Canis lupus familiaris: one gene and its partner. The protein of the gene in region 2 interacts with the protein of the main gene of each other region in a pairwise test. Links are inferred from orthologs where the notes say so. Each region holds a gene or a part of one and is shown on either strand. Other genes may lie near its edges.

Region 1 (3,653 bases), on a different chromosome or scaffold from region 2:
CTCCTCTGTGAGCTTCTGCACCTGGTTCTGCAGGTTGTTGTTCTCCTCGGACTGCTTCATGACCTTCTCTCGGAGGTTGTTGATCTCTTCAGAGAGATCGTCTCGCCTTCGTTCGGCCAGGTTGGGGATGTACTGGCCCCTTGGGGCGCTGCGTGAGGATGAAGAAGAGGAAGAGGAGGAGGAGCAGGAGGAAGAGGAGGAGGAGGGGCCGTTGGGGGGAGGAGGAGGAGGAGGAGGTGGGCAGTCGGGCCCCAGGGTGAGGGTTGGCGTGGGAGGAGACCTCCCAGGTGTAGCTTCGCTCCTGTGGGGATGGAGGCCCTGATCCTGGCCTCCTCTTCCACCCTTTCTTCGTTTTGTTTTCAAAAGCTTTTTGTTTCTGTAAAGGAAGATAAAAGCAGAAGTTTATCATCCACGTTCAAAGCAGCACACTACAAAAAAGATTTTAGCATCTAAAGTAGCCACTAAAGTACCTTAAATACGTGAGTATTTAAAGTAGCCATTAAAATACTTTAAATACATGAGTATTTAAAGTATCCACTAAAATACTTTAAATACATGAGTATTTAAAGTATCTCTTTGCTCTACTTGCTTACATTAATATTTAATAAACAAACACAGATCTTGCAAAAGGGAGAAACAAGTTAATAATCAATTAAGACAATAGGTAGTAACAAAAAGCACCCTACTTTTTAACGTCCAAATGACCTTTTTCCTCATCAAATGTCACCTATTATGATTCAACAACAATGCATACCGGTATCAACAGCAAGTTTACCTTCACTGACCGTAAAAGAATGCGGAGACATTCCAAAATACCAGTTTGGATCAGGAGGGCACAGCAAGAAACTTTCAAGTCAAAGATGGAGACCAAATTAAAAACACAAAGCCAAAATGATAATTGTTATTAGACGGGTTACCTGAAAAAGAGCTAATAATCCAGCCAATAGGGAACCAAAAAGAAGGGTGGGGGATTTAAATCACACTGCCTGTATTCATCAGCCGGGGGAGGGAAGAGGGCACTACCTCCATGGTGAAGGTCACTAACTGATTATCAAAACAAACAACAACAACAACAACAACGGTCACGAAACCCACAAGATTGTCTAAATCCAACATAATCTGATTTCCCAGAGAGAATTCCCTTCGGGACAGAAGTGGCACCGAGCAGCAACGTTGTGTATCAGCCTCTCTCCTTATTATGCAGTTCATCAACAAATGTTAATTGATGCCTCCTAGGAAGAGCTAGGCTATTAAATGGGACAGTCAAAAAAGCCCAAAAAGAGAATACCTCAAATTTACAGTATGGATTTAATTAGGTAATGCAGGTAAAGCAGTGAATACTTAACAACTGTTAGCTGATATTAATAAGAAAGGTAACTTTCTGTGTAAAGAGGCTAAGATTAAAACAGGGAGGGCCTGCAACTATGGCAACCTAGGCAGGCATTTCCCACCTAAAGACATTACTTTTTTTGGGGGGGGGGGGAGGGGGGAATACGCTGTTGGCCAAACAAATCCAGGGCCTCATTTGATTTGCAGGTCACCAGTTTCCAACTTCTGGTTTTTAAACAAGATTTGTCAGCACAGTCCCACCCAAAAGTTTATAATTTAGAGCAGGATAGGGCTGTACTCCTAGGTGGTGAGTAGCAACATGGGGGGCATTGGGGGTTTGGGGGATTAAGGTCTTAATTATGGGTATGGTGACAATAAATCACACATACAATAAATCCAGCAGTGTTTATGTACTTCCTAAAATGAGGGTTAAATGCATTTATAGTAACTTAATTTTAACTTTTTATAATTTTTAAATGAGCATTAAGTTCTCATATTTGGAAAACTTTAGGAAAGCGCTCAAAAGTTTAAAACCATAATTTGTAAAAGCAGGCAGACTGCCCATTCACTAAATTTTAACTTGGCATTCCTGGTCACCTGTTCTTCTCTGACCCATCAAGGCAATAATGGACACTAAATTAATTATATTAATTAAAGCCCACAAAGATAAATGTGTTATTCAAAGAAGTTATGTGAAAAATAGCTAATATTTCAATCAATAGGGTACAAGAAAAAAAAATGAGGCCCTGGATTAGTCACAAAATAGTGTGATTTTGATTTATTAAATTAAAATCTTTATTTTTTTAAATTAAAAGCTTTAATGTCCCATTAAAAAACAATAAACACAAGTCAGGTGACTCAAGTGCCACTTCTGTATCTAGACATTAATACTTAGAAAACTTAGAAAACTTCTGGAAAGGCCTTCATAGCTCGGCCTGGCGTTGCCTGACCCAGGTCAGGAAGGTTAACAACCCACATGTCAATCACAGTCATTGGGGGGAGCTTTACTGAGGTTCCAGTCTCATGGTTTTAATATCTGCAAAACATAATAATAGGACAGATATAACAACACATTCAGAAATCAGCAAACAATCATTGTATATTGTTTAAGGAATCAAAAGATCAATAAGGGCTTAAAATGCAAATGATTTTAGTAGACAGGAAGGTAACATAAAAGTGAGAAGAAACTGGAGTTAAGACAATAAGGAGTGGGCTGGTGACTATGTAATTTAGGGATGCATGTCCCCTCCCCAGAAACATTCAATTCTTTAAAATATTTTTAATCCAGTGCTGGTCAAATAAATTAAGGGCCTTATTTGACTTGCAAGGTCACCAGTGTGAGACCCCTGACCTTTACCAAGATCAGGCATCAGGTACCCACCCCTGGGATTTTTAATTTTGGTGTGGGATTCTAAATCCTAAAGGAGATAACTGCCCAGAGAAGAGTAGTGTAACCTTTAAAAAACATAGGATAGTCGGCAGGCAGGTTAACATTCAATGTAAATAAAGCTTAAAGATATTTAAATAGCAACTAGAGCACCAGTTAATTTGGGAACAGGAGCACTGTGACTTGATTTGCACCTCCCACCCCTTACTAGGGGCTGGATTGTGGAGGTCAGGCCCAAAGGCCCCATTCCTAAAACCTGAAATGACACACAGTACTGAGCCAAGTCACATGGGATAGATGTCACCTTTACACATGAAAAAGAATCCAGTGTTAGTCTATATAGGAATTAAATACATTTGATTGACCTTTGACTCTTCTTGAAGACTTCTAAAAACTTGTTCCCCAAACACACCAAAAAGTAACAGTAGCCAAAAAACACTGCACATTAAACATCTCATTAGAAAATGACACTTCATTAAGCAACTCTTAATTGCTTTATATTTTCAAATGTCCCAATTTCTTTTTTAGTACCATGTATACTATTTGTGAAATGCAAATTATATTAATATGCATATTTTTACCATTGTTTTGAACTTTAAAAAAAACATAGAATTTCGAAAGGAAGTGGGGGTAGGGTGACGGGGGGGGGGGGGGGGGGGGGGGGCTGGGGATTAACTGAAAGCTGTAATTACCACAAGTATAAATACATAAAGATATGTAAATTGCATATTTATTAGGGGGTGGGTGACAGATATTTGGGAGTCAGAGTCCTGGCTTATGGCTTACAATATATGAAACCAGGTTTTAAAATTTCTTCATTTTATTAGAAACATAAACATGGTACATCTGACTGGAGGTAAGGCATCAGATGTTTTATGTGTATGTTTTATAATGCCAGCTAAAACCCTCCAATCTATTTTTTAATGTAACCACTTTA
Region 2 (3,753 bases):
GAATTATGCATTTTGAGTATTATAGGAGTTGTGGACCAGATAAAATCTCTTTTATCAAAATGTCCCAAAACACATGTAGAATTCCCTTTCTTAAAAAAATATTAAAAAATCCCTTTGGATGAATTATACAATATGGAATAAATGCTGAAACAGAAACCAGACTGTAAACAACTAAGAAACCCTGTGTTAAGTAGCTTAAGTTCAACCAAAGCTGTTTTCACTGAACTTTCCCCTCTCCCTCGGTGTTCAATTGCCCTGCTCAGTCCATTTCTTTTCCATTCTAAGGCAGCTCGAAACAGTGACAGGGAGTCAGTCACAAGTAATCCAAAGGATCACCCAGGACATCAGCTCTGATTAACTCCGCCTAATGGCAAACAGTTATCTGCTTCAGTTGTAGATTTAGGGATGGAGGGGTCGTCAGGGGAAGGATCTGCTGCCATCCCATCATGCACCTTCATCTATTAAGTCTTCCCCTAGAATCTGAACACCAGCTACGTGTTAATTAATCTTACTTCCTACTGATCAGTAGGCCCCATAATAAAGGTGGGAGAAAGAGAAGAGAAATGGAGGGTAATCTCAAAAGTTTTTAGGTACTCAGAGAAAGTACATCTTTCTACTCTATTTCCATTGCACAATAAAATTACATATAATTTGAAAAGGGGAAGAAAAGAAGTAATTAAAGAATAAAGATTAAAACACCAGAGACACATGCAACATTGGGGACAGTAAACAGGTTAAGAATTCCTTGTATCCTAGGGTTCACTAGTGTTGCTGAAGCATTCATCAGCACAGGAATAAATATTATTTGAGATAAATGTCATCTGGAAGAAACGACAACAATGTAACTAGTTTGTCAGGCTAAATGAAAGATAAAGCAAATAAATACCTTTCCCAGGAATCTACTTTGTTAGGATATGACAGGCCATATTTGTCTCAGGGATAACAAAAGATCAGTCTACTGATGTCCCAAGACTGTATTCCCAACAACTATACAAACCATATTTCTAACAAAACTAAAACTGAATGCCTCAAATTTAATGCTTCCTCAATGTAATCATTATTGCTGCAAAGAACCTGACTTTAAGAAAACAACGCTGGTTACCCATGTGACTATATAAAAGCAACTGGACTTCTAGATTACTCAAGGATAGACACCAAGTGAGGGTTGAAGGTGACAAAAAAAATAGTCCACTGTCAACTAAAGTTAATATTCTACAATTCAAGAGTCTACAAAAGTACAGAATTCCACCATAAGGTGGCTTGTCACATGGACTTAAGGGACAACGGGAATCAATTCTCATCACCTGAAACACTGTACAACCCAGGTGTTTGATTCTTTGTGAGTACGATGATCCATGCATTTTCTACCACTTGGAAACAACGGGCTCAGCCTTGCCAAAATGCCCCACGTATATGCTGTATGCCTGTCTCGTGGTCCATTTTATACTGCTCACTTATGTGAGCAATGTTAGAATTGGAAAGTGGCTCCCTGCACACAAAACAGTCTAAACCACTGATGCCTTTTCAAATTACTAAACCAAACAAGCTAATCACATCAAGGAACAGTAAACTCGGCTTGTATTCAAAATAATAGAACTAGGAAAATATAAGCAAGAAAAATACTATCGTTTCATTTCCAGACCGAGCAAATAACTATACATAATCATCAATCATTCAGGCTTACATTCCAATATTATCTTTATTACTTTTGCAAACATTGTAAAAAAAACAAAAAACAAAAAACAAAAAAACAGTTTAAATCTCTAAAGAGTGAAAACAAGTGAAATGAGGCCGGTATTTCTTGCGAATGGAGGTATTACAGGACAGAAGGTGCTAAAACCTCCCAAAGCACCAAAGGTGGAACCCAGCTCCATCTTCAAACAAAAAGAACCCCAACCACAGAGCAGCCCTGCAGTAGGAACCACGGACTCAAGTGTCTTCAGACAACCCTGCAGGAGTGATGACGTAACCTGAAGCTTGGTTTAAACAGAGAAAAGTACAGTAGATCAAAAGAAACAGCAATGCAAACTAGAGCTCAATTACATTGCAGCCACTCCCTGATCCCGATTCCCCCAGCTCACAACTTTTCCCGGTTCATACTTTAAGCATCCCAGTCTCTTGGTGTCAATACCTTTTCTCTTCCTTGTCCCAGCTGCTGGCAGACATGTGAGCAAGACGCCCCTCCAGGAGTACGGAAAAGGTAAGGGAGACTTCCCGGTCATGAGAAGTCAGGCGGCTCATAGCCCTTCCCCCAGGAGCAAACACGATTTGTAACAGAGGCCCTGCTGGATGGACACGTTCTGCTCCTAAGCACGTCGGAGTTCAAGTCTTCAAGCAGCGAAGGTAAGCGCCCTGCTCTAGGATCCCCCATTCACTCCTCCGAAGCACCGGCTGCCGCAGCAGCAGAGGAACGAAGCCTCTCCCGTCCCCTCAGGAGTCCACCACACCTCCCCGCGAGCTCCAATTCGCCTGCGTTTCCAAAAATGGGCGCCATCACCGGAGCTGTCCTCCGCTGGGCCCTCAACCGCCTGCCCTGGAAGTTTGTCTTCCCCACATTCACTAGCCCGCCAGCGTGGGTGAAGGATGGGGCTGCAGGGTGCGCGGGGGCTGGTCAGGCGCACCCCGGAGCCAGCTCGGAGCTGCCGCAGGGTCCGGCCCGCCGGAGAGCCACGCGGGGCCCAGGGCTGGGCCTGGCGGTGCTGGGGGAGCCTGCTCCAGCCCGCAGCGCCCGCCGGCCTCCGCTCGCAGCGCCCAGCCCAGCCCAGCCCAGCCCAGCCGCAGCGAGCGCGGGGCGGGGCCGGCGGGGCCTGCGGGGCCGGACAGGGCGGGGCGGGGCGGGGCCGGCGCGGTGGTCACGCCCGCAAGCCCCGCCCCCCAGCCCAGGGCCGCTGGGGCGCTGCCCCGCACAACCCAGACCCTGCCCTCGACCCCAGGCAACACTGCAACCTCACCCATTTCCACAAGCTTACATTTAGTTCGAAACATGTCTTTCTGTAGAAAACAGATGCTGCCAATTCTGTATGATTTCAACCTAAGACCTACATAGAGTATATGAGAATTACGTGGCCAGAAAAGTGCTCTTCTCCTGGTTAACCATGTGTGAACTGTGCTCATAGAGTAAAAGCACTCTCCCCACTTCGTTCACTATATACTGGGCGTCAACGACCCGATTTCCTCAATTCTAACTCACTCCTCCACTTCTATCCCTGGTGACATCATACTTGAAACTCCTTCTCTTCCTTCGAATAGATTGCAGTGAGAGTAGTAAACACCCGTAACTCTATTAAACTCCTTCAACCTCCAAACTGAGATTATATTCTCTTCCCAGTCTGGGAAAACCATCTTAAATGGCCTCATTAAACAGAGAAGCTTGTGTTTTTAAAGAAGCATTACACGGGCCCCAATAAAGTCCTGGGCCTCAGATTTGCCCTGCGTCAGGTGGTACACTCAGGGGTTTAACCTGTCATTATATCATGCTTATAGGGCAGCCTTTAAACGCACAGCAGGAGCTCATGGTGGGAATGAACCCTGTGCAGTAAATTGTAGATTACCCATTTTCCAAATCAAATTTTAGTTCCAATCACTTCCAGACCCTATTGTATTCAGTCATTTCAACCTCACGTTAATATTAGGCTACATGAAACATCATTGGGAATAGAAATATGGATGAAGTTAGATAAAGTCTGCTCACTGACAAATATAAATTATTATTACCTACATTTTCATTTCCTAATACATTCACCCTAGAGCGGT

What was found.
Region 1: the proteins of SIAH1 (region 2) and PEG10 interact in binary tests that used the Homo sapiens proteins (3 or more experiments, as listed by UniProt). The link is inferred for Canis lupus familiaris from reciprocal best matches to the Homo sapiens genes SIAH1 and PEG10.

Annotation. Positions count from the first base shown.
Region 1 is NC_049235.1:20,084,167-20,087,819, reverse strand, and holds part of PEG10 (retrotransposon-derived protein PEG10), read right to left. Parts: intron 377-3,653; 5' UTR 256-376; coding exon 1-255.
Region 2 is NC_049223.1:65,986,805-65,990,557, reverse strand, and holds the start of SIAH1 (E3 ubiquitin-protein ligase SIAH1), read right to left. Parts: upstream 2,720-3,753; 5' UTR 2,223-2,719; coding exon 2,132-2,222; intron 1-2,131. UniProt on the Homo sapiens protein: E3 ubiquitin-protein ligase that mediates ubiquitination and subsequent proteasomal degradation of target proteins.